Linked DNA regions of Lepisosteus oculatus. The protein of the gene in region 2 interacts with the protein of the main gene of each other region in a pairwise test. Links are inferred from orthologs where the notes say so. Each region holds a gene or a part of one and is shown on either strand. Other genes may lie near its edges.

Region 1 (15,318 bases), on a different chromosome or scaffold from region 2:
CTACAGGAGCCCAGATCAGCTCCCAGACAGGCCTCCTCCCTTAGAATCCCCATCCCACCGAAAACTCCAGACTCTTCTCTGGGCCAGGAGACGATGGAACTACCGGAGCTCTGTTTCCTGGGAGACAACCGATACCCAGGGCTCCGTTTCCTGGGAGACAACCGATACCCAGGGCTCCGTTTCCTGGGAGACGGCCCCACCCCCAGCCCTGAGCACTGGCTGAAACAGTTACTGCAGCCAGGGCACACGCCGGACTCCATGCTCGTGCCCGACGGACGGACGGACCTGCCTCGGACTTCCATGCGCGAAGGCGGCTCTCTCACCTGTGTCGGGGGGGCGGATCCAGATAGGGTGGGACTGCAGACGGGTGACTGATGCCTCGGGAGGTCGGCCTGGGGGGCGTGGCTCTGAGCTGGGGACTGGAAGAGAGAGAGCGGTCAGTCTCTTCCCAGGCACCCCCCCACTCGGACAGTGACCGAGCCGCCAGGCCCCGCGGACACTTACCCTGTGCTCCCCGCTCCTCCCGCCCTGCCTCGCGGCCATCTGCTGCCTCAGGCTCTTCAGGCAGTACCGCACCTGCACACGGCAAAACACATAGCACTAAAGCGATGCTGCTCCAACCCACCAAGGAAACTGCCAGAGGCGAGGCTGGCGTCATTCCAGCACCAGCGTACTGCAAGAGCCAGAGTCCTATTGTCCTGGTGTCCAGAGTCCTAGTGTCCAAGGGTCCTGGTGTCAAGAGTCAAGAGTCCTAGTGTCCAAGGGTCCTGGTGTCAAGAGTCAAGAGTCCTAGTGTCCTATGGTCAAGAGCCCTAGTGTCCTAGGGTCCTGGTGTCAGGGTCCTGGTGTCCTAGAGTCCAGAGTATTTGCCATATGTACAAGTGCAATGAAAACGCTTATTCTCATGCATTTTCCAATACAAAGACATCAAGGAGTCACCAACCGAAACACACAGCAACAGCAGCCACAACAACACCATTAAATAACTCTCAGCTTCAACAACTCAGAGACCAGACCGGACACAAACAGCCCACAGCACGAAACAGACAAAGACACAGAGGCCAGGAGCCACAGGCCACAGGTCACCACCCTCCGGCGGAACGGAGGGGCAGTCAGGACCCCCCCTTACCTCCTGGATGTGGGAGACCTCGTCTGAGAGCATCTTCAGGCTCTCGTCGTGCAGCGTCTGGTCCTGTCTCCGGGCCTCCAGGTACACCTGCAAGAGCACGGAGCAGTCTGAGCCTGCGACACTCCACCCCGAGTCTCTCCGCAGGGGTACGCCCCCTGGTGTGTGTGTGTGTGTGTCTTCCAGCGCAGCCAGCAACACGGCCCTGACTGGGCCAAGCTGCTCGGCCATCTCCACTCTCTGTCCAGTTCCCCACCTCTCCTTCCAAATCGGGGTGTGGGGGCAGCCGGAGTCTATCCCGGCGAGCCCCAGGCGCAGGGCGGGGTACACCCCAGACCAGAACGCCAGTCCATCGCAGGGCGGGGTACACCCCGGACCGGAACACCAGTCCATCTGTTAATTCACCCACTAGCCCGTCTTTGGATTGTGGGTGGAAACAGCAGAGAAGCACCCACACAACAAACCCAGGGAGAACATGCAAACTCCATACGGATAGCACCCCCCTCCCCCAGGGGGCCGGAATGGAGGCCAGGACCCCTGCGCTGTCCCGCAATATCAAGGTCATTTTCCCAGGGGGGGGTCACACAGCACCCTGCTGTCCTCTGCCCCCCCCCCCCTTCTCTCTGTCCCCCGCACACCCACCTTGATGACCTCGACCTTCTCCTCGGTGGGTTTGATTGGCTCAAAGTTCAGGGGCTCTCTCCCATTGGCCGACTGCACCAGCGCAAAGGCCCTGCCGATTGGCTGGAAAAGGAGAAGGGTGGGACAGATGTCAGACTAGAGGGGCAGTCAGAGGGAGGACTGGGGACTTGAATCAAACCGGACTTTCACAGGACAGTGTGAAGTTTGCGATCTGAAAGACGCACTCGCACTTGTTACTTTTTTTCTACTTAAATATCTATCTGGAAAGCGCTTTGATTGAAGGAGCTACAAAAAAACATTTAAAAAACAGGTTCGGCGAAGCCTCAGGCGGCCCGTTTGTTACCTTGCCCCTGGGCAGCTCCTGGTTCAAGCCGGCCCGGTTCTGGTCCTGAAGAGTGAGTCGAACGGTCCGGACTCCGTCCTGGAACCAGAGCAGAGGGAGTCAGTGCAGCACAGGGACAGGGAGAAACAGGGAGAGCGCGGGCAGATCCGCTGACCTGCCTGTGAAGGAGTTTCCGTGATAATGTCGAAAACAAAACACCCAAGACAAACACACAGCAGAGGCTGGAGCCAGCCGCAGGAATTTTAACGGTTTTGTCTGCGGCATGCTGGGACAGGCCGGCGCTGACTACCGGCAAATGTTTGGCGTTAGTCATCCGCCGACCCGCGGGGCTTCCCGACTCGTCCCTCCCTCCCAGCCCCGGCGTCGGGATCGCGGGGCGCCGCGGGAGCCCCCAGAGCCGCAGGCGACGGTGGCGTCTGGCCACATCTGGCCGGCTGCGCCCGAACAGCTGTTTCTGCTGCGCCTGTGTAATCGTCTCGCGCTCATCCGTCCCGGGGGAGACGTGTCCGAACAGGAGCGCGCCCGGCCCTGTGGCAAACCAGGGTAGGGGCTTCAGCACCCGTTCCACACACCCAGCACTCTTAGTGTAAGGAAGGGCCTCCTGTTTTCGGTTTTTAATTCACTTCCTCATCATTTCCACTTGTTTGTGCTTCATGGTTCATCCTGAAGAATGTGTGAACAAGACCCCGTTTTCTCCAGTCTGCTCAAGTCAACACTGAAGAGACTCAGTTCCTCCAGCCACTGTCAGTGTGGGACACTCCCTTCCGACTGAAGAGACTCAGTTCCTCCAGCCTGTGTCAGTGTGGGGGACTCCCTTCAGACTGAAGAGACTCAGTTCCTCCAGCCTGTGTCAGTGTGGGGGACTCCCTTCAGACTGAAGAGACTCAGCTCCTCCAGCCTGTCAATGTGGGACACTCCCTTCAGACTGAAGAGACTCTGTTCCTCCAGCCTGTCTGTGTGGGACACTCTCTTAATGGTCCAGAATGTATCTAGTTGCTCTTCTCTTGACTGAAAGCAGCAGTATGTTCTCCTATAGCATGAGCATAGTCCTAAATGAGCCAGTACCAGTGTGTTATTCCATTTTAACAACATCCTATTGATCTACATTCTACGCTTCTGACTAAACAGCCTAGCTCTGCGCTTGCCTGTTCACAGCTTCTCCATTGTCTAGAAGATGTAAATGATGGATCAAATTACACACGCGAGTCTTTTTCATAAGCGGCCTCTTCTGACACGGTTCCCCCCTCTGGGGACAACATCACTAGTCTGGGACCCCGCCAGCTCCTAGTGCCGCTCCACACTTGTCTACATTCAACACCTGCCAGCTGCCAATTCCTTACTGTACAACCCTGCATCTCAACCTATTTGCTCGTTAAGGACGTCTTTTCTGAGGTCTTCTGGAGGGGGTGAAAATTGGGGTACACAGCAGTACAGATTGTACAGCGTGTTGACAAAAGTAGGGTCTCCCCTTCTCCCCAGAACCTCTGGGCGGTCAGAGACTCCACAGAGGACCTGCCCCTCCCCACAGTGCGAGTGACTGTGCTGGGACCGACAGCCGGAGTGCACTGGTGAGATTGTCTCCTCCGGGCTGGCTGGGCACTGCAGGGACCCCCCGGAGCGAAGCAGAGCACCGCCGTTGGTCCGTCTTGTTCCAGCCCCCTGCCCCAGGTAAGAGCTTCTGCTGCTGAACAAACGCGCGCCCTCCCCCAGGGCGCGCACGGGGCCACGATCACGCACGGGCGGTCCCGTCTGTCAGTCGGGTTGCCTAGCGACCGCGCCCGCCGCCTGTCAGCTTAACGAGCCCTTCTCACGAGAGGAGGCCCGGAGCTGCCAAGATTAAACTTTAAAGCCTGACGATGAGGGGTCGTAAAATAAGCGCTTAGCAGCAGCAGCAGGAACGGGAGAGGTGGACAGTAATGTGATTTTTTTTTGTTGTCGCAGTTGTTCTGCTAATTGCTATTGCGTCGGCAGCGCTGTCACGGAGACTCTCGGAGCTGGAGGGGGGTCGGGGTTACCCCGAGATCTGCGCGTCCTGTCAATCGCGAAACCACGCGCCCGGTCCGGAGTTTGAGCTTTGGCGACGCCTGCAATTCAGCGGTCGAGCAGATAATGCTGATAAGCAGATCATGCAATTTCCCTTCGGGATCAATAAAGTCTTATCTATCCCTCTAAAGTTCTTGAGTGTTGGGGCCCTCCCCCCCCCGCCCTTGAAGAAATTCACACCTCCGCCTCGGAACCTCGCCCTGCAGCCTCCGCCCGGTTTTCGGACACGTCTTCTCTGTCCTGTCGTGTTCCTGGCCACGTCCGTTCGGACATAAAACAAAAACTCCTTTATCGCACAGTCACGTGTTGTGCATTCGCTATTGTATTCAATTATATGAAACTTTCATCCCCGCCGCCCGGAGAGGTAACCCGGACTGCGTTTGTCTGCGGGCTTCAGTCCGAACTCGGGCCCACGGCGCTTGGTCCAAAACGAACCCCGGCACCGCATAGTGACGGGGTCAGCACCCTGGCTTCACCCCGTCCTCCACACACACACACACACTGCTCTGAGGAGAAACTACAAAATAGTTTTGTTTTCCCCCACCTTTGATCCTGGAAGTGAGATGAACACGCCCGTCTGGACTTGCCGTGCTGTCTAGTCAAAGCAAAGGAAAGAATCCACCCATTACGTACGCGAGCTACACGCCCAAGGTGTGGGTCTCGGCGGTGGTTCGGTACCGGCGGTCCGGGCAGAGTCCCGGTGACCCGCGCGCTCCCGGGTCTGACGGACTTGTTAGCAATAAACTTTTCTCCAGCGCGCTCCCGGCCCGCACTCCAGCGGGGTGGCTCGGTACCGAAAAGCTCTGATCGATAAGTCCTCTTTCTCCCGTCCTCTGGACCGGACCCCCTCCCCCAAACACCGGATGTTGATGTCCAGTCTGCACGCTCTCCCGGTTGCTGGTCCTTTAAGACCGAGCCCGGACTCTCCAGAGCGCCGCGCCGGGAGCGGGGGATGAGCCGCTGGCGGTTTGGAAAGACTGCAGATTCGGATTAACCTCCGCGTCGACACAAGACCAGCGCCCACCAACGTTAACAGTATTCATTCTCCCGCTACAAGCGTCACGGCGGCTTACGGCCGACAGAGAATGATGTGTGCCATATACACTTAGGAGGATCAAAAAACCCCTGAAATAGTCCACACTGTTAGGCGGTTGCTTATTAACTGGACAAGTGATGGGTGTGGAGCCCCTAACTGGTGCGGCGGCGGCGGCGGCGGGCCCAGATGTCAACAGCTGTCTGCACGGTCCCCGAGCTGGAAGGCGCTGTCGGACCCGGAGGAGAAAGACGCGCTACCGGGGGTCCAGTTTGCGCGATAATCTCGCTCCCACGTCGCGGCAACACCCGAAGTTACACGCGCCTGTCCCCTGGCCGGGCACGCAGGCACGCGACAGCCCCCCGCTTACCCGCCTCGCTCTGCTCGGGGTCCCCCCGGATCCCCCCGCGCGCTCGGCTGCCTCCGCTCCCTCAGCCCGCCCGCGTGCGGATGACTCTTCATCATCATCTTCCCCGTCTCAGTCCCCGCGCGCCACGCCTCCGGCCTCCGGCGCATTAGCAACCCGATGAGGAATAAAGTTACCTCATTAAATCATTAACCCCTCGTCAGCTCCCCCTGCTCTGCCGCATTCCTTTCTGCTGTATTTGCATTCCATGGAGGTGATCCGGGAGCTGGTTTTCACAGGAAAGAGGCACGGCGTTTTTCTGGGTAGCCCTTTTAAAAAACAGCCGTGCCTGGCGTTCCTGGAAGGGTTTTGCTTTATTTCTGAACGGCTCGGGTTTCACAGGTTCTCTGGAAGACCGAGAGGACAGATTTATAAGCTACACGGACTGGTTAGACACCGCGCTGGGCGGGTCAAAATATACAATCAGACGGAAGCGCGGTGTGGAATGTTCCTGGCGCGCGCTGGAGCCTCCCGAGACACCTGTCTGTCTGTGCAAAGGCGCTCAGGGTGTGATATGGACATCAGTGCCACGTGGTACAACTCGAAAGTTGCATAAACTGCTGTGTGCAACACGTGAAAAAAAAAAGATAAAAGCAGCCGAACAATTCCCCCCCCACACACACACACACCCGGTCGCAGTGCGCAGTACGAACAGGCTCTGGCCGCTGGACAATGGGGCTCAACTCAGACGGCCTCAGCCTGGACTCATAAAAGGGTATTTCTGTCCGCGGTAACGGTCATACAGGTCGCCCCCCCCCCCCCCGCTGGATTAGATATGCAGGCACGGCGCCCAATTCTGTTTATGTCCCTACATTAAACCCAGATCTGGTAAGAAGCAGGACAGGAGGCCCCTCATTACACTTAGGGTGGTGGGAGTCTGGAACAAGCTGCCCAGCGGTTCAGGCCTATTAAAGTCCTTTAAGCCATTAACGGACCCATTATCTGCAGCGCAGTCCAATGACACTCACGCAGACCGAGTCTCGGGACGTCTTCCGTTTCGTACCCACGTCTCCATTCGGCCACCGATCTCGCTCAGTCCCGGAAACCTGCCTGTGACTACGGGCCTCGGCGGACGGGCTCAGCAGCACTGCCCGTGAGCGATGCCGAACCCCCTCCGCAGGAGTGTTCAACAGGCTTAGCGCGGCGGCAGTCAAGGTCGTGCTCCGGCACGGTGCTCTGACGCCGCCAGCGGGACACGTCAGCGCGCCCTCCGGCCGGGCCATATAAGCCGAGGTGCGCAGAAGGCGGGCGCCGATTTGTGAAGCGGTTGTTGGCTCCTCCTGACAAAAAGGTCTTTCAAAATAACCCACCGCCGCCAAAGCCCGAAACAGCTCGGGTTCGAAACGCACATTTTACCAAAACAACAACAACAACAACAACAACAACAAAAAATCTCATCTTGGCCAAACCAAGGCTGGAAAAGCGCTGAACCCGAGGAAGAGGCAGCGCGTCTCCGGAGAACAGGACCCCCCTCCACTCCACCCTGGGCCCGTCCCGGTCATCGGAGGAAATAACCGAACCGAGAGGGCGTCGAGCGCAGATACCGATTTCAACCTCACGTCTTCCTCCAGACACTCGCGCACGCAGCAAGAACGGTCTCCTTTTGATTCGTACACTGCAGGAGGGCCCACTCAAAACTCTGGCGTGACCCACGCACGCGTGTTCTATACACTGCATGTAGTACAAACACTGCTGAGACATTTTCCTTGTTTCCCCACATGCGTGAGATCAGAGTAAAAGCATAGTACAGTGCAGTAGAGCCCAGTGAGATCAGGGTAAAAGCACAGTACAGTGCGGTAAACCCAGTGAGATCAGGGTAAAAGCACAGTACAGTGCAGTACAGCCCAGTGAGATCAGGGTAAAAGCACAGTGACGATAAAGCAAAGAGCTATGGTAAAAAAATGTGGTAAATAAAGTTTGACACACCAGGTGATCAACGTAAATACGAGGTACAAGCGTGGTAAACCCACAGGGGAAGTTTGCGACACTACCCTGGACATCTCCCGTGGCGCCTGCGGCAGCAGGACAGTCCTGAGATAATCCGAATATCCCCTCGGTCCCTAAATCACACGCGAGCAGGCGCGGCTGCTCTGAACCCTTAATCCTCTTCCACTCCACGCCGGGAGCCTTTCCCACAGTAAATACACGCGCGGTCAGGAGTCCGCTGTCAGGAGACAAGATCCTTCAACTCCGAGAGCAACACTGGACACGTAGGCAGGGCTCACAGACGGTACTCAACTCTTAAGGACACAGCAGGCTGTTTTGGGAAGCCAGTTTCACCCCTGTTGGAAGTTTCACCGTGTAAACGTGCTCTTATACACAGAAAAAAAAAGTTTTTTTTGCGGGTTTAAGAAGTGTTAGTGCATCGATACATGCAATAAAGTTTACGTTAATTGCCGCAACTGGCTACACTGTACTTGCAGTCTGCTCAGCTTCCAGGTGTGTGAACAATTTCTGTTCCCGAATTGCACTCCGTTGCATTTCTTGCATGACCTGTCGTGTTGCTACACCCCTGTGAAGGCCCCGTCCACCCGTGTGAGTCTCTCCTGCTGACACGCACGGATTTCAGAGCTCGCTCGCGGCGGCTCGCACCCTGCAGTACAAGTTTTATTTTCCCACCCGAGACAGAAGCGACCCCGAGCAAGGGTTCGGCGTTCCGGTCTTAAGAGCCCGCGGGGGAGAACCGGTTCGGTTTTGTTCTGTTAACCCAGAGCGCAGCGGCGCTGTAAAGCCGTGATCCCGCCTGTTTGAATGGTTTTATTGGGCCGCGATCGGAGATAACGCCACTGCTGTAAAACTGCGCGTTCACGCCATTTTACAGCGCTCTGAGGTGTTGACCGCGAGCTCAGCCCGCTGTGCAAACAGCGCCCCGCGGTCGTGCGTCATCCTTCTAAAAGTATTACCCCCCCCCACGCCCCGCCCCGCAGGGATTCACAACAGCAAGTCATTAGAAATGAAGTCACTTTAGTTATGTGCGTGCGACGCTGATGCTCCAGGATTTACAAGCGACAAAAGACGACACTTGGGGCTTGAAGCGCATACATCCAGCAGTCTGGGGAGGGCGGGATATCATTAAACACACACACACACATGCCACTTCAGAATGAGCAGTGACACAGCGGACCTGGGGGCACAAGTGAACACTATCTGGAATAACTTTTAAAATCGAGGAGGGGGCCGGGAGACCCCTCTTTACACAAAGAGTGGTGGGGGTGTGGATCACGCTGCCTAGGCGTGGTGTTGAAGCCCATGCCCTGCCTTCTTTCCAGAAACAGTAGTTAATTAATCCCAAGATCTCATCCAGCTAGCTACCGAACGGGCTGGAGAGGCCGAAGATCCTCCTCTCCTTGGTGACCTTACTCAAGTGCACAGCTGCTGTGCCCCCACCCTGGGATTTGAACACGCAACCTCCCAGGGAGGAGTCCAGAGCCCCTGTCCGCTCCTCCACACTGCTGCCTCTCCTCTTCCCTTTGGCCTGAGGATCAAGTTTTCCCTCGATAGCCCATCTCGTGGAAATGAAACCACAGCACAGTGGTTCGGTCTCTGTCTGGGGGAAACTTTGGAAAAAAAATCAACAGGAAAATTCTTCAAACCGGCAGAAGAATTTTAAGGAATCCAATTTTGTAGCTCTGGCGAAGAGAAAAACATTCCTGCTTGATCACTTCATTGATTTTTATACTGCAAGAGCACAAAGAAACGAGTGACTGTATTTTTCGTATTGACTCCAAAAGCTGAAAGGCAGCAGGGATCTTTGAAAGACATATATAGCTAACTTACCGAGAGGCTGCTTGACATCATAGTCAAAAATAGCCTGTAATTATGGTTGTCTAATCACACGTCGGGTATTGTTCTAAAAGAAACTCGATCCTTTACACACACAAAGCATGTGGGCACACCAGGACAGTACTGTAGGCAACCCTATTGTTTACAGTGGTTCAAGGTCACAACGGTGTAGTAAAGCCCCGTGAGATCAGGGTAAAAGCGCAGTACAGTGCAGTAAAGCCCCGTGAGATCAGGGTAAAAGCACAGTACAGTGCAGTAAAGCCCCGTGAGATCAGGGTAAAAGCACAGTACAGTGCAGTACAGCTCAGTGACGGGAACTCGAGTAACAACTTTCCAAACAAAACCATAATTAAATATTAAAGTCGGAGGGAGAGCAAGTTACTCTCTCTGTAGGCTGGCTTTTAAATGTCATTTACATTGACCTTCGATGGTTATAATCATCACGGTTATAATCAAAATAGATCTGTATTCCTTCCTAAGAAGTGGTTCAGAAAAACACGTTTCGGATTCATCCGCGAGGAAGGACATTTGAAACCAAGAACAGGGGAGGCATCTCTTTACACAGAGGGTGGTGGGAGTGTGGAACAAGCTGGCTCGCCATGCCAGCCATTCCGCGGTCCCGGGATGAAAATGAACAGCGGGAACGGCGCGCGTTATTGTCCAGTGCTTTTCACGCAACCCCACTCAGGACGCGGGTTGCGTGGAGAGCGACAGAGCGGCGATCGCTTCGTGAAGGAAAAAAAACAAACCGCGAATACGATAAGAGACGTGCTTTCCATATTGAAATCAAGTGCAGGAACAGGTTTTACTTTCTTCAGGCGAATGTGACCCGGCTGAACGCCGGGACAGGACGGGGCCTTTTTTCGAAGCCGAAGGCAGAAGTCTTATCTGTCTCACCGCGGGGGGTGGGGGTGGGGACACTCACTGTCCTTGTGATAACACCGATCAACGAGCACAAGCTGTGCTCTGCAGTCAGACACGTTACTTTGTTCGGAAGGCACGATGGCCTTGTCCAGTGCCACCTGCTATATTATGTTTTGTTTTGTTTACTTGTACATTGTCTACTGTTTGTTTGTATATTATCTTGACGCACTGTCTGCGCTTTGTGTTTTTACACTTGTTTTAACAATCGAGAGACTTCCTTTTCTAGAAGAGTTTCATTGTACCAGTTACATACATATACATATAAGTTCAGGAATGGCGAAAGGCGTGGGACTCCCCCGCAGGGCCCCCGGGGGGGTCAGTCGGGACGCCGGGCTGAGATCCTGGCTGCTTGCTCAGTACCGACCCCAGAGCTGGTCGTCAAAAAGCGGAGCAGCCCCGGCGTTTTAGCCGAACCCCACTTCGGGTTTGCGCGGTCCGAACTGGACCTGCAGTGTCTCTCCGCTGCCCCTGATCTGTGTGGGGCAGTGAGGCTGCTGTGGGTCCATCAGTGGGGCTGCAGGGGGTCCCCTCCTGAACGGGAGAAGATCTTGGGTATCCACTGGGTTAGATCAGTACCCCCAGACAGTGGAGTGAAGTCCGGCTTCTCGTGGGAAGCACACTGACGAAAACTTTCTACATCACGCAAACAAAGGACAAGAGAGAGAAGAGCGAATTCTTCTCGAGCCAACTGACAGGGACAGAAATATTCCACACGGGTGTTTCCCCCAACCCCACGGCAGAGTCTCACACACGCCGTAGGCTCATATCTACAGGAAGATCGCCGATCCTTCCAGAATGCAAGCCGGTTACAGGACTCGGCGGAGTCCCCGCTCCCCGACACGACCTCTCGCTTCCTCGGGTGGCTCCCGTGAAGCCGGGACTCGGCTTGACTGCAGCGCTGTGGCAACGACAACCACACAGCAGCCGAAGAGCCACGTGAAGTTTTTTCACATTTCGCCTTTGTCGCGATTAGTACCTTCGGCAAAGCACAAAGCCTTTCTCGCTGGCGCGACAAGGACTAAGGAGGAAAACTATGTCCTTGGAGACCCGTCTCTAAGCGCGGGATGACCGGAGTCTCACAGCCGGGACAGGGAAAACACACACACGGACACGGCAAGGGGCAGGGCTCGGAGGGACGGTGTCACTGTGCACGCCTGAAGGAGGCTCCACGGCCGAAACGTTGCGTTTTCTTTCTTCTTTTTTTTCGGCAGGGAATAAACCTGTTACTTGTTCCTTTGCGGACTGAGACAGGACAACCAGGCTTTTAAGAACGTCTGTAACACAGTAGAGGCTGCATCACTTTGCACGAGTGTGTGCTTATTCAGAGATGTTTATGGCGAATTAAAATTTATTTTTAAGAAAAAAAACAAATCCTTCGGCTCGATGTGTACCCTCGCCCAAGGAGAGACAGGGGGCGGACGGGGGGGTAATGAGCACCGAAAAAAAAAAGTTCGAGACCCTGGGAGAGAGAGAGGGAGATTGGCAAAACACCACACACACATATATATATAAAAACATGTAACATCTCTCCGTCAGAAAAGTAGCACCAGAAACACGAGCAGCACTTGGACAACAGCATCATCACAGCAGATGCCCCGATACAGGACCGCTTCCCACATTTTCCAGTAAGTACAAAAGGCACAAAAGCGCCTGACGTGATCGCACACCAGCACCAACAATATGATATTCTGCCGCCCGTGACGCCTGCTGCATTTTTAATGCCTCCCGGTGAGGAACAAAGGCGAGCGGAACAATGCCGGGCTGGAAAGAGCTGCGGACACGGGCAGACACACCGACACGGGCCAGTGCGCTGGTAGGGGACATACTGGGGTGCCTCCCCGTGGTGGGGGTGGAGGGGAGCCCCAGCTCCCCGCACGGCGCTCTGTTTATCGGTGAAGTTGCTCGCTCACTCACCGCCAAGCCGCCGTCCGCCTTGAGGTCCTCAAAGGTGCACAGACTCCGCGAGCCGCCGCTCATCCTTGCACCCGCAGCCGGGGGAAGAGCCCGGAGAAACCAGCCCCCGTCGGGAAACGGGCGGGCGGGCGGACCAGCCCGTGTTCAACAGCAAGGTCGAGGCCCCGTGTGCGGGGGGTCTGTCTCTGACTTCCTGGACCAAAGCCTCTCTCTTTCCCTCTCCCCTCTGGGAAGTTCAGAGCGCCGCTCGTCCCGCTGAGCTGAGCTGTTTTGGAAGTTGAAGCCGCAGCTCTCCCGAAGACTGAGGTTTATGAATAAAGCCGTCCGCTCCCTCCCCCTCCTCTCTCTCTCCAGGAGCCTGACGTCACCTGGGGGCTCGCGAACTCTGCCTCTCCGAAGGCAGCAGCTTTTTTTTCCTCCCCGTCTCGCTTCTCTGTCCTCGTGACCTCACCCTTCCAGCTGCTCCGGGCAGCGCGAGGCCGGGAGTGCGCGCACCTGCGCGCCGCTTGAGGGAACTCGGGAGTCCGACGTCCCGGATTAGAATAACCATGCTTATCTAATTGTTATATTATTGTAATTTAATGACTTGTTGTAAGGCGATGACTAATGCGTCTATGTCCCACAGTCGGCGGGGGATTACAGTTCCAATTAAAAGCGGTTTACCTGTATTTTTTGACAGCAGTCAGGCTGTTGCAATACGCTTTCCGAGGCCAGGTTTAAAATGTCTGTTGTGGAACTTAATTCTGAGGTGTTCTGCGCACAGACGTGTTTTACACATGTAAAAACACAAAACGCCTGCTTTTGCGAACCATGAAACATATGTATCCATAAAATAAACACCTAGGCTCCCAGAGGAAACCCAGGATCGCCTTGATAATCCCATGCGGACACATCCGAGGAATTCAATGTCGGGACACTCTTCCAGCTTCGGGCGACTGGGGAAAACCACTCTGGCTCCCACCACACACAGGCTGTAATTATCCCAATTACAGGGCACATCTACCGGAACAGCAGCAGGCTGGGAACAGAAGCAGTCAGCTGTCTGTAATGAGCACAGGCCTGACGGAGATATGTCAAGCCTCAGACGAGGGCAGAGCTGACAGTGTCTTCTGGTGAAGCCCTGACTCCGGACCAGAGACCGCAGCTCAGTCAGGTACGGTCTGGTCCCTTCTGGCTTCTGGGTAGTCAATTAACCAAATTAACCGGATTCTTTGCTAAATTAGACACATAAGGGACTTTTACTTCTGATGACACAAGGCTCCATTAGATCTACAGTTCCCTGTAAGTCAGCACGCAGCCTGGCTCGAGGGGTTAAAGTTCTGCACCTCATTAAATAATCAGATGAGCTGTGAACCCCGAGAACAGGGGGGAATCAACGCCCCGAAGACAGGGGGCGCAGCAGGAATGGGGCCCGAGCACCCTGGTCCCCTCGATGTGAAGGAGTGCTGGCGGGAATGACCACAGCACACAGTCTGCTCTTCACAATCTCTCTACCCCTCCCCACCACAGTGCTCCTGTGCCGGCCTGCCAGAGGCCTAATCCGGGCTCAGGCAGAAGGCCAATTAAGAGATCACAGCTTATTGGTAATTAATGGTGCTCTGCTGCACAACAACAGCTTTTGCTAAATGACAAGAAGACATTTAAGCTCAGTGCGGTCAAGCCCAGTGAGATCAGGGTGAAAGCACAGTACAGTGCAGTAAAGCCCAATGATATCAGCGTAAAAGCACAGTACAGTGCAGTAAAGCCATGTTAGATCAGGGTAAAAGTGCATCCAGGTGGATGCTGTACATTGGTGGTGGTGGAAGGGAGTCCCCATTACCTGTAAAGCGCTTTGAGTGGAGTGTCCAGAAAAGCGCTATATAAGTGTAAGCAATAATTATTATAATTATTATTATTACAGTGTAGGCCATCTTTAAGAGCACTGTTCAGCTTGATCAGTCTGCAGGTCTCTTTTCCCTTTAGCTTTTTTTAAAGGATCCCAAGAAGCGGGCTCCGGCTGCTGGGTTGTGCGGACTGTTCTGTACACCCGCCACTCTTGGTGTAAAGCACAGTCCACACAGTGTGCCCCTCATGGCCTGGAACGGGTCCTGCCGACAAAATAAAATGTCAAACCAGCTCCCGGTGCAGTGCGTCCTTCCCCTGTCTCCCGGGAAACTGGGCAGTGACGTGACCCGCCTCCCTCCGGCTGCGACGTTCCTCTGGGAACGTTCCTCAGGGTTGCCGCTCTGCAGACGGGAGCGAAATCCGATCCTGTCTAAAGGAAGAGAGATCCGGAGCTCTCGGAAAGCAGGCCACTGCCCTGCCCCCCACACTGGAAAAAGAAAGGGTGCCGCAGAGAAGGTGTGTGTGTGTGTGTGTGTGTGTGTGTGTGTGCGCATGCATGAAGCACCAGTGGATTTCTCCAGTTCAGTTTTACCACCCCCACATGACCGCTGGGACTCCTGATCTCATTCCCTTAATTGCACATCCAACACCGAAATCCCGAAAGGGGAATTCAAGAGAGACGGAGAGGAAGCCTAAATCTCGGTTACGGTCTCGTGGTCTGAGTGCGGAGAGAGGGACAGAAGGAGAGAGAGAAAGCAAGGGGTGCAGAAGACAGACCCTCAGTCCACAGCTGGCTACCCTGGTCCTAGCAAGGATGCGACTCGACTCGTGGAATTCCTGTCCCACCTGCGAGTTTAATACAACCCTGCTCCAGGGGAGCATCTGTGTGAGCGTGTCAGAGCAAGAGAGTGCATGAGTGTGTTTGAGCGAGTGTGCAAGTGTACTGTGTGTGTACACGAGTGCATCTGTGTGTGAGAGTGTGCACGTGAGTGTGAGTGTATGTACACGAGTGCATCTGTGTGTGAGCGAGTGTGCACGTGAGTGTGAGTGTATGTACACGAGTGCATCTGTGTGTGAGCGAGTGTGCACGTGAGTGTGAGTGTATGTACACGAGTGCATCTGTGTGTGAGCGAGTGTGCACGTGAGTGTGAGTGTATGTACACGAGTGCATCTGTGTGTGAGCGAGTGTGCAAGTGAATGTGAGTGTATGTACACGAGTGCATCTGTGTGTGAGCGTGAGTGTTACACAGTGTGAGCTTGTTTCTAACCCTCTCCTGTGC
Region 2 (15,762 bases):
ATGCGTTATCGACCACTCACGGTGTCGCAGTCCTCCAACTGGGGCGTGCCCCCCAGGTGAGTTATTGATTATGAGTTATCGATCACTCACGGTGTCGCAGTCCTCCAACTGGGGCGTGCCCCCCAGGTGAGTTATTGATTATGAGTTATCGATCACTCACGGTGTCGCAGTCCTCCAACTGGGGCGTGCCCCCCAGGTGAGTTATTGATTATGAGTTATCGATCACTCACGGTGTCGCAGTCCTCCAACTGGGGCGTGCCCCCCAGGTGAGTTATTGATTATGAGTTATTGATCACTCACAGTGTAGCAGTCCTCACACTGCCGCGTGCCCCCCAGGTGAGTTATTGATTATGAGTTATTGATCACTCACAGTGTAGCAGTCCTCGCACTGCGGCGTGCCCCCCAGGTGAGTTATTGATTATGAGTTATTGATCACTCACGGTGTAGCAGTCCTCGCACTGCGGCTTGCCCCCCAGGTCGTAGAACTGCAGGCCCTGCAGGGTGCGGCAGCAGCTGACGCACACGAAGCACTCGGAGTGGAAGAGCTTGTCCATGGCCCGCACAGCAGGCTGGGAGCGCGACAGGGGCTGCGAGCAGTGGGCGCAGCAGTCTGAGGAGGAAGCCAGAAGAGAGCGCTACACACACAGACACACGCCACAGCCTCACAAACACTGGAATTCGAATTCCCTCAAAACATAACCTACTCCTTCTCAAGTCAGAACTTAGGCCTCTTTTAGGAATGTGGCCCAGTTTTCAGAGGGTCTACAGCTCCCTGTTCGCCCCCCCTGACTTGCCAGTTTGCCTAGAGCGCCCTCTAGTGGTACAACACTGAAAGTGCAGCTGCCAAGAACGCAAACAGCACTTCAAGCTTCATTATCCTTCAGCTGGGGGGGGGAGATCCGTTTTACGGCTGGGTCCAAAATAAGGAACACGACAATAACAGGATGCACATACATGAAATCCTGATCACCCTGAGCTGAAACAACAGCAAGAAAGTAACTAGTGAACAAAAGACACAAACACATTGCCTCTGAAGGTGCAACCTGGCTTGGAGCCATCAGCACAGACCGTCACACAGGGCTCTCAATGGGCTTATAAACGCAGAGATCAATGTGGTGGATGTAATTAGCGACTAGCCGTCCCCTCCTGCCAACCAAGAGAAGAACAACCAGTGTCGGTTAGACGCTGCCCCCACATGGACACCAGCACTACATTTCCCATCATCACTCAGAACTGTAGGCCCCACCCCCTCCTATTCAGAAGAGGAGGAACTGTGGGAAATGTAGTTTTCTACAGAGATCAGAGACAGATCGGCCGGGAATAGGCACACTAGCACTAGCCCGGATCGAGACTGGACGACATGGGAAAACGCCTGTTCGGCAGTGGAACAGACTCTGTGCTGACCTGTGCTTGGAGCGTGGATCTGAGGAGGGTTCTCCATGTCCTTGATGAACCTCTGAGTCAGTTTCTCCAGCTCCTCCACCTCCCTCATCGAGAGTGGAGCCCCAGAGCCAGCGACAGAGGACTTGAGAGAGAGAGACAGGGCATTATAATAACAATAATTAATACAAATAAATTATAATAATACACTTATATAGCACTCTTCTGCACGCTCCATTCAAAATGTTTAACAACACAGAGTCAGGACCTTGGTTTTGCATTTCAACTGATGGACGGTGGCTTTTTTATAGTAAAGTGCCCCCCCATCGCTAGACTGAGGCATTAGGACCCACCCAGACTGCAGGGTGAGCGCCCCCTATTGATCCTACTAACACCTCTTCCAGCAGCAACCTGCGCTTTCCCAGGAGTCTCCCCTCCAGGTACTGACCAGGCTCACACTTGCTGAGCTCCAGGGGGCTGGCAGTTGTGAGCTGCAGAGTATATATAGGAACTGGCAAAACCATTTCCAACAACAGGAAATTTCACAATAAAGCTCAATTACCTAATAAAGCTAATTCAGACATGGGTTAAGCCGTTACTCATTTAAATGGAATGAAACTTTTTTTTTTTTACACTTACGGTTAGACCTCCTGTTCCCACAGGTGGCTTCTGGGAACTTTTAGCGCCAAACGGAGAGCTCTGATTGGATCGGGGAGCCTGGCTCACAGTTGGAGAGCCACTGCTGTTGGCCGACGCCAGCTGGCTGACAGAAGATGGGGGACTAGAAATGGACGCAGTGGAAGAGGGGACCGAGGTCACAGGTGCGCTCTTGCTGGCTGGCGGGGGCTGACTAACGCCTTGAGTGGAGACACCAACAAATCCGGGTCCAGAGCCCTTATTTGCTGAGGCAGGTTGACTGACTGAGGCCTTATTAGCAGGCAGAGAGGAGAAACTACTGGAGGGGGGTCCCACTGCAGAGGCTGGTTTCTGACTGTTTGAGATGCCGACGCCGAAAGTGGGAGCCGGCTTCGGGGCCACGGAGGGGCCTTTACTGGCCGGCGGTGCTTGACGGACAACCGGGGAGGAGCCCTGATTGGCCGGCGGTGCTTGACGGACAACCGGGGAGGAGCCCTGATTGGCCGGCGGAGCTTGACGGACAACCGGGGAGGAGCCCTGATTGGCCGGCGGAGCTTGACGGACAACCGGGGAGGAGCCCTGATTGGCCGGGGGTCCAGTCTCTCTGATCGTCTGCCTGGCCCGCAGCTCTTGGGCCCAGGGAGCAGGTGGTGGGCGGTCCATGGAGTCAGCAGGGGGCAGGAAGGAGAGGGGAGGCTTTGGGGCCGTGGGCGGAGGGCCCGACGACTTGGGGGGCACCTTGGTAGGTTCAGCTGGCAATGTGCTCGGCAACTGTACAGGAAGAAAAGTAAATTCAGAAAGAGCAGCAGGTGATAGTCCTGTATCGTATATGGATACTCTCACTTTGAAGTAATGCCAAGTCAGTCAACATGACGCAAAGTCCAGTCAGTACACCTGCACTAACTCTGCCATGTTCTCTTCCTCCGATCTGGAATTCTCCTGAAGCAGCTGGCACAGGATACAGATCTGCCTCCCCCTCCATCTACCTACCTACTGTGTGTCACTGTTCATAAGTGAATCACAACTCTTAACCCACACAGCTCTGCACCAAGTCAGCTGAGCTTCGCAAGTGCTGATACAATACTGACTCACAGTATTACACACAGATTTCTAGGTGAAGGGGTGAACCCCTGAATACTGTCACAGTCTGGACACCTGTGAACACAGCAGAGACAGGAAGGAGCTTTAATTCAGACGCACTGATTCACCGCCACACCCCGGCTCTCGGTCTCGTTCGGCGCAGCAGTACCGCCAGCTGTTTCCCTCCCTGCCCCCCCGCTCCTCACCTTGGGATTGAACGGCCCGCTGGTCTCCATCTCCGTCAGCAGGCTGGTGAGCGAGTTTATCTCCCGATCAAAGCTGGTCTGTTTCTCGAAGCTCCTCTGCCCCACAGACAGACAGACAGAAAAGCAGGCGGATAAGTCCGCGTCTGGGCCTCAATCACTCGCCACACGAGACAAAAAAAACACATTCCACGAGCCGTTCGAGTGCACAAGTCGTGGAATCATCTCGATTACATCTGTGCCAGGAAGGTCTGGCAGAATTTCCTTGACCGTGCCGACGGGACCGGTCCCTATAAAGCAGACTATAACGGCGATCGCGATAATCAGTGCGACAAAAATGGGTTTTATAGGTGGCCTCCATATGACTTAAGTTTAATAAGTCATCCAATGCAAAACAGGAGCTGAACTGCAAATCGAGCAGCTCGTAAACAACCCAGAGCTCTGTCCGATCCGTTTCCCATTCCCATGTTTCGCTCATTTCCTCATGGCTTTATCCAATTCGTCAACGAGGGGGAGCCGGAGCCTATCCTGGCCGGCAACGGGCGCAAGGCAGGGCACGCCCTGGGAGGGACGCCAGTCCATCACAGGGCACAGACACAGGTTAACCCACCGGCCTGTCGTTGGACTGTGGGAGGAAACCAGAGCACCCAGAGGACACCCACGTGAACACAGGGTGAACACGCAAACTGCCCGCAGACAGCACCCCAGAAACTGAAGCCACAGCACCAGCACTGCGAGGCAGAGAAGCTGACCACTGCACCACATTAGCTGGTCAGTTTATGGGGGGGAATAGAACTACAGACAATATGGCCACACTATACTGCCTGGCAGGTTTATAGTTTCATATATAAAAAAAGATCCAGACCAGCCCAAGAAAATGAAAAGGCCCTCAAAAGTACAATGTTGTTAAAATGTGTCCAAAGTGAGCCAAAGAGCACACGAGACAAAAACACAGGCAGCAGAAGAATGATTGCTTTCTAGTCCAGGCTTGTTTCTACTGCAGGGCGCCGTTTAAATTTAGGGTCTGAAAACGCAGGGGCAGATTCACGACCTAAGTGGCGCAGGAACCAGTAAGAAGCAGTACCAGCCAGGCGAGCATGCGATACGGGCAGCGGACTCCAGCGCTCGGGAAACCGAGGTCGAAGACTGCGTGAACTCCCGAGACACAGGATGACAAATCGGAGACTTGCCCAACTTTCTCGGGTGACTTTTTGATTTTTTTCCCCACCCACGCGCGCCGAAGTGGCGCACGCGCGCACACACACAAAAAAAAAAAGTTTATCCCGAGTTCCTGAGACTCCTTTCCCGAAAAATCCCGAGCCGTGTCCTTTAGGATCTCGGAACCCCAGCCAGTCCTACATGGCTGAAAAGGTCGGAAATCCTTAACGTCGCCCCTCTAACAGACATGGGGGAGAACCTACTAGATCTTGTGGTATTCCTGGCAGCTGCTTCTCCTTGTTGTTGTTGTTGTTGTTGTTGTTTCCTGGACTGGACTACAAACACTGCTGCGTCACGGCCTGTGACTCTGGAGCCAAGCAGCACAGAAATGTACACTGAACCGGACTCTCCAGAGCACTGCTGCCTCACAGGGGTTCAATTCCTGGGATGTTGTCTGGGTGGAGTTTGCATGTTCTCCCTACGTCAGCACGGGATCCCTCCCACAATCCAAATATACATCTTTAACAAAAAGTGCAACTCTTAACATAACATAAAAGCTCTAGCAAGTGATATAAAGTTCTTAGAAGGGTGATTGTCCACTGGATCTTTTCGAATTGCTCAATCACAGTGTGACCACTGGGTCAGTCGTCCATAGCATTGCTTTAAACCCGTCTTGGCTCTGAGATTGTCCAGAAATATACTGGCAGGTCAACAGCCTTGAGGGAAACCTGTGTGTGAATTTGTGTCTGTGTGCCACGTGATGGACTGACATCCCACCCAGGGTGTACCCTGCCTTGCTCCCATTGCTTGCTGGTACAGGCCCCAGCTCCCTCCAAGACCCCGAACTGGAGGAGGCAGCTGGAAAACGGACAGACTGGTACACTCACCGGAGCATTGCAGGCTGGAGGGAGCGGAGGAGGAGGAGGTGGGGGAGGAGGGAGGCTGCTTTCTGCCCCGGTGGGCGACGGGATGTCCTCAGGAGGGGGCGGTGGCGGGGGTTCTGGAAAAGCAGGGGGTGGGGCCTCTGACGCGGGGGGTGTGGTCTGATATTCTGGGGGTGGGGCTGGCAGGTCAGAGTCATCCAATGGTGGAGGAGGGGGAGGGAATTCTGACAGACAGAGGGAGAAACGGAGCTCAGGTGACAAATGAGGACAGGTTGGTCATTTGATCCAAGACGCTTGTCTGATTGCAAGCGGAATACTGTTCCAAGGATCATACCCAGCTATTTCTTTATGAATCTCTCAGTATCGGCTTCAAAAAGCCGAGTTTGAGACAGGACCTCTGTCGTTAAGTCCAGTGAGAGCTGTACCACTCCTCCAGCCAGTGTGACTGTGCTGGGGGCACAGTGGGGCTCTCAGTGTTGTCAGTGAGAGACACAGCTCCTCCAGTAAGTGTGACTGTGCTGTGTACATTTTGTACACAGCACTACGTTACTAGTGTACATTTTGAAGATATAATCAGTGCTCAACCCTTATTTGCCAGCACAAGGGGGCATCAGATAAATGCAACAAATAGTTTTAGTTAATAATAAAGTGATTTAGGCTCAGTGGGATTACTACAGCTCATATGAATTTACAAACTCCATCTAAATCAAATACTGGAAGAAGGTTCTACAGTCAAAACTGTTTTTTTTCTTCATCTTTATACATTTCATCATGCAATTACCTTTAGTTTATCACACCTATAATACTACTTCCTACAAAACATTTCACGATTCCCCCATCACGATCCACATAGAACACAAGAAGGCTATTTACCTTCTGTCACTGCGGGAGGAGGCGGGGGCAGCTCTCCCACCCGGCCAATCACAGCAGTGCTGGCCACCGATGTATGACTGGCCAAAGGCTGTGACTGGGTGGAAGAGAGTTTGGGGCGGGGCGGAGCCACAGAAGCAAACTTCTTTGGTGCATTGTAGAAGGAGGGGGCGGAGACATTAAAAGTGAGGGTGGAGCTAACCATCACTGGCTTGCTGGAGTCGGACATCATGGACACTGCAGAGGACGAGAGAGGCAGAGGTTAACAATGGCGGCCTACACAGAACTAACCCCAGAGCAATCTCCGACTGCAGCATACGTTGTACGAGAACTGCAGAGGAAGTGGAACAGTGGGGCTAATACAGACTGATAAGGAATTGCAGAACAAGAGGGAGAGAGAGTGGCGATAATATAGCTGGTTAATCAGTGACCAAACTCCACAACGTGTCAGTGCTGAGGGAGTGTGAGAGACGGGGATGGATGTCAATATACTAGACTGGACACTGCAATATATTAACACACGCAATCAGGGAGCATATTTACAACTTTGCCAAGGAAAGGAAGACAAAACATCACACAGACGCAGGGAGAGAGAGACATCCAAGGACACAAACCACATATTTGCCAGACAGTCAGTCTGCCAGTGATAAATCTCTAACAAAACAGTTGTTAGCTATCTTACAGCTTATGCGATGCTATACAAGCCAAACAATAACCCTCCTGAAATACTATTTTCCTTTAAAAAACAAACAGACACATTCCATTATTTCAGCCTTTGTCATCTCGAAAAGAGAAGACTATGAGGGGACAAGACAAAAGCATTGAATACGCGCAAAGACACCGATACATTCAACCCAAGAGACTAGGAATAGGGGGGGGGGGCACCTCTTTACACAGAGGGTGGCGGGAGAGTGGAACAAGCTCTCCAGCCACGTTGTTGAAGCCGACAGCCTGGACACAGACACAGCCGGAAGAGAGACTCGGGTCAATGAACACGAACTCCTCTCTCTCTCTCTCCCCGTGAAGTAACTGTCCTTATGTTCAGTTAGGATCATAACGGCCCGGTAGAGAGATGTTACGGATTCACGAGAGAACAATAACGGGCGGTGACGACCGTTTATTAACCCGGCTGTGCAGCTCCGACCTCGGGCGGGGTCAGACAGCGGGTCCCTGTTCCGCAAAGTCAGCGCAACTCCGCAACAACACCCAGCAACGTCCAGGTACCCGTTTAAAAGACAGAAACTGTACACAGATACACAAGAACCGATTTGCCAGGCGGATTAAGAATGAAAAATAACTTCACTGAACGTAGAAGACAACGCTCCTACTGTATGCATGCTTCTCCAAACAAGTTCATTCTCGTGTTTTAAAAGACGCCACGCATCTCGATGGCTCACGATACCGCTAGCTAGTAACAGTAAAAGTATTCATAACTAGATCACTTCAGATAGTTTCCACCACGGCGATTGCACGCACAAATCGTAAGGATTAACAAGAACTAAGCTGGGGGGAAACTGAGGTATGTGTCTATATGTTACGAAAAGCGGCTTAAACTCACATGGAACTGCCGTGTATCTCCCACTAGATGTGCCTTTCGTCTGCCGTGTAACTGTCCCGGCTTAATGGGATTTCTCTTCCTCTCCGATCGCTTCAGCTCCCGTTTTTATAGCTTTGCTGAGAGAACTTTTTCTCAGCAATTCTGCCCCCCCCACCACCAAGACATTTCCGGCTCGCGCTTCCGCATTTCCGCATCTAACAGCGCCGGCCGCACCTCTCGGGGTCCCGCCGCTTCCTGTGCAGTGACGTCAGTCCACTGATAACTGGGGTTTCGTCACAGCACTCTCGAACTTTAACACACAGAGCTCTCACTGTGTGACTGTGCTGTAGTGTCCAGTCAGTCAGTCAGGGTCACTGTGCTGTAGTGTCCAGTCAGTCAGTCAGGGTCACTGTGCTGTAGTGTCCAGGCAGTCAGGGTCACTGTGCTGTAGTGTCCAGTCAGTCAGTCAGGGTCACTGTGCTGTAGTGTCCAGTCAGTCAGTCAGGGTCTCTGTGCTGTAGTGTCCAGTCAGTCAGGGTCACTGTGCTGTAGTGTCCAGTCAGTCAGTCAGGGTCTCTGTGCTGTAGTGTCCAGTCAGTCAGGGTCACTGTGCTGTAGTGTCCAGTCAGTCAGTCAGGGTCTCTGTGCTGTAGTGTCCAGTCAGTCAGTCAGGGTCACTGTGCTGTAGTGTCCAGTCAGTCAGTCAGTGTCTCTGTGCTGTAGTGTCCAGTCAGTCAGTCAGGGTCTCTGTGCTGTAGTGTCCAGTCAGTCAGTCAGTGTCTCTGTGCTGTAGTGTCCAGTCAATCAGGGTGTGTGGACATTTTTTTTTAATTCTTTTTTGCTCTTTGTGCCCAAAAAGAGAAAAAATATTTAGATCACGTATTGAAAGTCTGGATAGTCTTACATTGTTTTTGGTCTGGATCAGATTCTTTAGCATCAAGCATTTAATCAAATTATTTTTTCCAATATTCATTTATACTACAGTATAAATAAACATAATCTAGAGCACTATGACTAGGTTGTGTCCGGTGTTCATTTTGTTGACAACATTTATGGTGAAAATGTTCCTCAAGGACCCGCTTTTCATTCTAGTTAACAATGATAAAATGCTCAAGAAAATAATCTACAATGATGATAAAAAAAGGTTAAATTGTTTTCCATTTTTGTCTGAGTTAATTAAGACAAGACAAAATGATGTGTTAAACTAAAACTCATACTGGAATCAATTTCATCACAAGGTTCTCCGTTTGTGATTTACTGTCTAACATGTTACTTTCTGTCCACATGGACTAGAAGAGTCTTGAGCCCTGTGACTGGGCTGTCAGTGTGTCCACAGGGACTAGAAGAGTCTAGAGCCCTGTGACTGGGCTGTCACTGTGTCCACAGGGACTAGAAGAGTCTTGATCCCTGTGACTGGGCTGTCAGTGTGTCCACAGGGACTAGAAGAGTCTAGAGCCCTGTGACTGGGCTGTGTCAGTGTCCACAGGGACTAGAAGAGTCTAGAGCCCTGTGACTGGGCTGTGTCAATGTGTCCACAGGGACTAGAAGAGTCTAGAGCCCTGTGACTGGGCTGTGTCAGTGTGTCCACAGGGACTAGAAGAGTCTAGAGCCCTGTGACTGGGCTGTGTCAGTGTCCACAGGGACTAGAAGAGTCTAGAGCCCTGTGACTGGGCTGTGTCAGTGTGTCCACATGGACTAGAAGAGTCTAGAGCCCTGTGACTGGGCTGTGTCAGTGTGTCCACAGGGACTAGAAGAGTCTAGAGCCCTGTGACTGGGCTGTGTCAGTGTGTCCACAGGGACTAGAAGAGTCTAGAGCCCTGTGACTGGGCTGTGTCAGTGTGTCCACAGGGACTAGAAGAGTCTAGAGCCCTGTGTCTGGGCTGTGTCAGCGTGTCCACAGGGACTAGAAGAGTCTAGAGCCCTGTGACTGGGCTGTGTCAGTGTGTCCACAGGGACTAGAAGAGTCTAGAGCCCTGGGACTGGGCTGTGTCAGTGTGTCCACAGGGACTAGAAGAGTCTAGAGCCCTGTGACTGGGCTGTGTCAGTGTGTCCACAGGGACTAGAAGAGTCTAGAGCCCTGTGACTGGGCTGTGTCAGTGTGTCCACAGGGACTAGAAGAGTCTAGAGCCCTGTGACTGGGCTGTGTCAGTGTGTCCACAGGGACTGGAAGAGTCTAGAGCCCTGTGACTGGGCTGTGTCAGTGTCCACAGGGACTAGAAGAGTCTAGAGCCCTGTGACTGGGCTGTGTCAGCGTGTCCACAGGGACTAGAAGAGTCTAGAGCCCTGTGACTGGGCTGTGTCAGTGTACTTGACACAAGCTCGCTCTACATCAATATCAGTGTTAGGTCGTGCATTATGCTTGCAAGTTACAGATAGTGCATATATCTGTCTCTCAGCCAGTCTCCCATTTAGTAGCAAGAGTGTCAGTTTCTTTCCATGTCCAGTATCAGTCATTTTAAAGAAGGTTAAAGGGAATCGCCAAGTAATCCGCACACGCAGCAGGACAGGGGACACAGTGAGAAGAAGGAAGTAACAGGGTTTAGGACGCAGAACTGAAGCAAGCGGTGTAAACACTTGACAACATGAACATGCATTCTCTATGTGATCGAGTCCCGGGATTCACACCTTCTGACTTCCACAGTTGCTTGGCGTGTGGGTCCTGCCAGATGTGGCACCCAGAGGCTCGCTAAATAAAGTTGCCGCGCGTTTCTGACCAGCCTAGCCGGGCATGGGGGGGAGGGAAAAACCGCGACAGCGGCAGGACGGCGACGCTGTGCAAGGGGTTCGAGGCGGCCGGCAGCAGCTGCCGAGCCTGTCCTGACTAGCGTTTGTGCCCGTTAAACAGCTCGTCTCTCTCTCTCTCACTCTCTTACCCTGTGCCAGGCTGCTCAAGACTCTTCTCTTCTGCCTGCTGGCTGCCTAGGGGGCTTGAAACACCGGCGAACTCGTCCTCCTCTCTCTCTGTTCTCTGGTCGGGGGGCTGCGCCGCCGTCCTGGTGGGTCCTGTACTGAACTCCCTCTCTCTCTCCCTCTCCCTCTGTTTCTGCCTCTCGCTGCCACAGCTGTGGCACCACTCCCTCTCCACACCCCCGTCTCTCTCTCTCTCGCTCCTTCCTTCTCTCAGCGCCCCAACAAGTTCCCTCTCGCCGGGAAGAGAGGGCAGGCAGAGGGGCCCACGCCCTCTGGGCAGCCCGTGTTAACTGTGCATCGGGATTATCAACCTCCTTCCCTCCTCCTGCCCCCCTGCTGCTCTCCACCCCCTCTCCTCCCCTCCCCCCCTTCTCCTCCTCTCTCCCTCTCTCTTAATTTGGATTCTTGCAACATTCTTCACGGTATGACATCAGCGCTCTGCCTGCACTTCCTTGTAAGGTCAGAGGCAGAGAGCGAGGGCTGTGTGTGTGTGTGCGCCCGCGCGCGCCCCAGGCAGAGGTGAGGGTTGATGAAGTGCAGGTGCCCCGACTTGCACGGCTCCCCCCAGACAGCGAGGGGGGGGGGTAACACAGGCCGATCGGCCCGCAGCACGAGTCCCTGAAGGCAGACCGTGTGTGTGTGTGTGTGAGCGAGAGAGAGGATGAGCACACGGTGAGTCAATATGAGCTCATCCCTTCAGGAGCAGACCGCTGGACACTGCCCCCGCCCCCCCCCCACAGCCCGCCGAACATCCGCTGTCCGAGAAAGACGAGGGAGACGGCCCAGCTGCTTCTCTGTTTTTTTTGGGGGGAGGTTCAGAAGAACTGGAGACCGGTTACAAACGAGAGGGGCCCACCTGACCCGTTTGGTAGTTAGTCGTTTGTTTTTCCGAGCTTCGCATCCAGCTGAGTCTGGGGAGGAGTCAGGGTCGCAGCTTGTTCCACACCCCCACCACCCTCTGTGTAAAGAAGAGCCTCCTGTCCCGACTGGAGGGTCCCATCCAGCTGGGTCTTGAGACAAGCCAGGCTCACGGCTTGAACAACTTGGCCAGGTAGCTTGTTCCTTTGTGCAAAGAAGTGCTAAGACGTTCCACCCTCCCACCACTCTTTGGGTAAAGAAGTACGTGCTGTCCTGATTGGAGGATCTCCTCCAGCCGTGTCTTGAGAGAAGCCAGGGTGTCGGCTTGTTCCACCCTCCCACCACCCTTTGTGTAAAGAAGTGGCCCTCCCTCCCCCCCTAACTCATTCTCCTTTAAAAAAAAAAACAGTTTCCTGCAGATTCCACTTGAATCCTCGGATATCCTCAGCAGACCCCACTCACGCCCTGTTTCTTCAGCATACGTGTCTCATTCCTGTCTCCAGCCACCCCTCTGCTGCTCTTCTCTGCCTGTCTCTCTAGCGCCCCCTGCAGGCGCCGGTCTGCCATGGACTCTGCTCATCACTCCCTTGTCCCTTTCCAGGAATCCGGATCCATCGTTTCTATAGTTTTATTCTGGCATCTTCAGCTGGGAACTTGGATCAGGATCCCATGAATGTGTTGTGAATACATGGTTTTGTTGTTGTGTCTTCCTCTTTCTTATCATCCTCTTTAGTATCTCATGTTTTCTCTTTCATGGAATTGCAAGTACTCGTACTCCTCCGGCCTGGGTGATTGTTAAGCTGCTTTTTCTCATCGCAATCGCTCAGAAGTCGTACTCTTTCCCTCGGCGGCTCGCGGTCCTGGCCCCGTAATGCGGAACTGGAGGTCGCCCCGGGAGAGAAGCATCTGCCCTGCCAGCCGCACGTTCAAGCCCAGCGGCGGAGGCTTCCGAGGACGGCTCGACTCCGGAGCGTCCGCCGCGGCGCAATACCGGCCGCGTCCACAAGAGCGCAGCATTGCGACACATTTCCGCCCAACCCCCGCGGTCTGCGGCAGCGCCGCCTCCGCACCGGCGCCATCGATCTTCTGAAAACACGCACAGGTGCGACAGGAGGCGCACAGGTGCGACAGGAGGCGCACAAGGAGGAGGAGAAATACTCGGTGTTCTCTTATTTTGGCCATACTGCCACCACGTCTATTAAAACGCCTTTATATTTAATATAAGAGTTAACCCAGCAGCCCCACTGTGTAACAGGTCAGGGGCCGAGGAGAGAATTTAATTCTCCAGTTGAATTCAGGGCTAACTTTACAACAAAGAGCCAACGGGATCTCTAATGAACAAGTAGTCCAGACCTGCGGCTTAACATCTTGCCTGATCGCCATACTGGGGCACTGGACTGGCAACTGTGTCCCAGAGGATCAAGCGTCACCTACTGGTCCACCCACGCCACTCTCAAGCCATTTTTTATGTCTATCAGTGTCAGACACTGAAAAAACACTTATGTGTGGTTTGTGGACACTGTTACCAGTCAATACCAGTTAGACGGTAACAACATTTTGATGCACTCGAATACTTAGACCACAATATCACGGCTACAGCAGTTTAATCACCTAAAACACTCACTGACCAGTGAGGACAGGCTCCGTGACCACAGAAAACTGGACACCGGCAGACCTGGCTGTCCAGAGAGGACAGGCTCAGGGACCACAGTCTGGACAGAGAAACTGGACACAGGCAGACCTGGCTGTCCAGAGAGGACAGGCTCAGTGACCACAGCCTGGACAGAGAAACTGGACACCAGCAGACCTGGCTGTCCAGAGAGGACAGGCTCAGTGACCACAGCCTGGACAGAGAAACTGGACACCGGCAGACCTGGCTGTCCAGAGAGGACAGACTGTGCTCTCCCTGCCGGCAGGGAGAAGCAGAGACAGAGATGCACTTCCTGCTGTGCTGGGAGAAACACACAGGGATTAGAGAAACCTTCTTCCGAACAAATAACAAACCAAATCTCAGCGCTCCCACACCTGCCAGGATCAGTCCTACTGGGAGAGGAAACTGGACAGAGCTGCAGCCCAGTGTGTGATCTCCTGTCCCAGCCTGAGACAGAGCGGGAGCCTCTCAGATCACAATATTGTGTTATTTAACGAAATGTCTGCAAGCATGTTCCCGCGGAGTCCTTGAGCTGGCAGGGCAGTAATTCGTCGGTCATGCCAGAGCAGCTCTGGCAATTGGAAGGGGCAGAGAGAGGGAGGCTTATGAGCAGTACTGGGTTCAGTGCCCTTCTCTAATTCAGAACACCTCTCCTCCCGCACTCCCCCTCCCCCTCTCCTCGCCTCTCCTCAGCAGAATGCTAATCTGTGCATCACAGCATCTTATCTGTTTAGTATGTCTCTGAGCGTCCCTCCCCTCCCTGCCTCTCCTAGTGTGAATGCATAATACGTCCCTGACACCCACAGTCTGTGTGTGTGTGTCTGAGGTGATTCATGTGTGCATGTGTGAGTGTCATCTGCCCTCGCATCTCAGAGCTGACTGTGTCCTCTTCCATTCCCCCTCTCCCTCCTCTGCAGCTCCGATAGACAGACACGCCGACACGCAGGCAGGCAGACAGGCAGGCAGGCTGACAGGCTGACAGGCAGACATACAGGCTGACAGACAGGCTGACAGGCTGACAGACAGGCTGACAGGCTGACAGACAGGCTGACAGGCAGGCAGACAGGCTGACAGGCAGACAGGCAGACATACAGGCTGACAGACAGGCTGACAGGCAGGCAGACAGGCTGACAGGCAGGCAGACAGGCTGACAGGCAGACAGGCAGACATACAGGCTGACAGACAGGCTGACAGGCAGACATACAGGCTGACAGGCAGGCAGACAGGCAGTCAGGCAGGCAGGCAGACAGGCAGTCAGGCAGTCAGGCAGACACACAGACACACAGACTGACAGGGAGACAGGGAGACAGGGAGACAGGCTGACAGACACAGAGAGATTGATCACGGAGAACAGAGAGAGAGAGTACGTGATCTCCCGTCCCAGCCTGAGGAACAGTGAACTTGTCTCACAGTAATGCTCAATATGTAAATATTTTATGATATGTCTTTGTTGTAAATGTCTGTCGAATGTATTTTATTTCTATTTTTTGTTGGGTTTCCTGTTAACTTCATTTTCATTTGCTTCGGCAGCGCTGATTGTACCCATCGGCCCCGCTACTGAAGCACCTTGAGCTGAATGGAATTGATAGAGAGATCTGAGCACGGCGAGAGAGAGAGAGAGAAGAGGAAGGGAGTGGGGAGGAAAGAGGGAGCGGGAGACGAGCCCGGGGGGAGGAGAGGGAGGGGCGCAAACAGGCACACGGAGCGACTGAGGAATACCCTGTAATACAATCTCACAGCCCTGCGATTCCGGATCAATGCGAGGGAGGGGGAGAGAGAGAGAGAGAGTGTGTGTGCGTGTGAGCGCGGGCGTGCGCGCGCGCGTGTGTGTGTGAGTGAGAGAGAGAGAGGTGGAGGGAAACAGCTGTACTGCATTGTAAAACAGACGGGGAGAGAGAGGAGAATCCCCTCACTGCTCTAGCACAACCGACCCCCCGGAAGAGCAGAGCCCAGCCACTCCACTAATAATACCAATTAGCCGAATCGGGATCCGAAGTGCAATTGAGCCAGCTGCCTGCACCGAGAGATTTAATTGCCTTTTATCATTATCACCATTCCTCTCCCCGTCTCTCTCTCTCTTCCCCTCTTTCTCCCCTCCCTCTCCCTCCCTCCCTCCCTCTCTCCGTCCTCCGAGCTGGGAGCCGGTTCTTGGCACTGCAGCGAGAGGGTGGCCGAGCACCCGGCGCAGACCGGCGACCGGACTGGCTGAGCACGCCGCTACATTAACACCGGGAGAGAGAGAGAGGAGGAGGAGAGAGAGAGAGAGAGAGGAATCCACACACCCTCTCACATCCACACGCTCTCTCCCGGAGATACACACACACACACACACACACACACACACGGAGACAGGCACGCAGGGAGACGGAGAGAGGAAGAGATGAATGGGAGAGGGACTGGACTGCTGGCTCTCCGAAGGTTGTGCACAGGCCTCCACTGCCACTAAAATGGGATGCATTGGCTCAAGAACACTGAGTAAGGCTTTTTCCTTTGAACGGGGGGTGGGGGTGTGGGTGGGGGTGTGGTACCAGCCAGCACTGGGGAAACGGGGCAGGGGCAGATGCTCATCTTCTGCTGGGGGGGGGGGTCGCGGAG

The links.
Region 1: the proteins of zyx (region 2) and tuft1a interact in binary tests that used the Homo sapiens proteins (3 or more experiments, as listed by UniProt). The link is inferred for Lepisosteus oculatus from reciprocal best matches to the Homo sapiens genes ZYX and TUFT1.

Annotation. Positions count from the first base shown.
Region 1 is NC_090722.1:5,739,487-5,754,804, reverse strand, and holds the start of tuft1a (tuftelin 1a), read right to left. Parts: upstream 6,864-15,318; 5' UTR 6,817-6,863; coding exon 6,562-6,816; intron 5,658-6,561; exon of another isoform or gene 5,558-5,657; intron 4,724-5,557; exon of another isoform or gene 4,699-4,723; intron 4,654-4,698; exon of another isoform or gene 4,428-4,653; coding exon of another isoform or gene 4,335-4,427; intron 3,626-4,334; exon of another isoform or gene 2,425-3,625; coding exon of another isoform or gene 2,401-2,424; intron 2,190-2,400; coding exon 2,112-2,189; intron 1,871-2,111; coding exon 1,769-1,870; intron 1,217-1,768; coding exon 1,130-1,216; intron 577-1,129; coding exon 505-576; intron 420-504; coding exon 324-419; intron 1-323. UniProt on the Homo sapiens protein: Involved in the structural organization of the epidermis. Involved in the mineralization and structural organization of enamel.
Region 2 is NC_090718.1:2,071,957-2,087,718, reverse strand, and holds the start of zyx (zyxin), read right to left. Parts: upstream 10,993-15,762; 5' UTR 10,622-10,992; intron 10,584-10,621; exon of another isoform or gene 10,374-10,583; intron 8,154-10,373; exon of another isoform or gene 7,770-8,153; intron 6,449-7,769; 5' UTR 6,444-6,448; coding exon 6,215-6,443; intron 5,566-6,214; coding exon 5,345-5,565; intron 3,399-5,344; coding exon 3,303-3,398; intron 2,788-3,302; coding exon 2,020-2,787; intron 1,526-2,019; coding exon 1,405-1,525; intron 611-1,404; coding exon 441-610; intron 1-440. Other genes in the region: fam131bb (protein FAM131B), read left to right, coding at 15,552-15,642. UniProt on the Homo sapiens protein: Adhesion plaque protein. Binds alpha-actinin and the CRP protein. Important for targeting TES and ENA/VASP family members to focal adhesions and for the formation of actin-rich structures.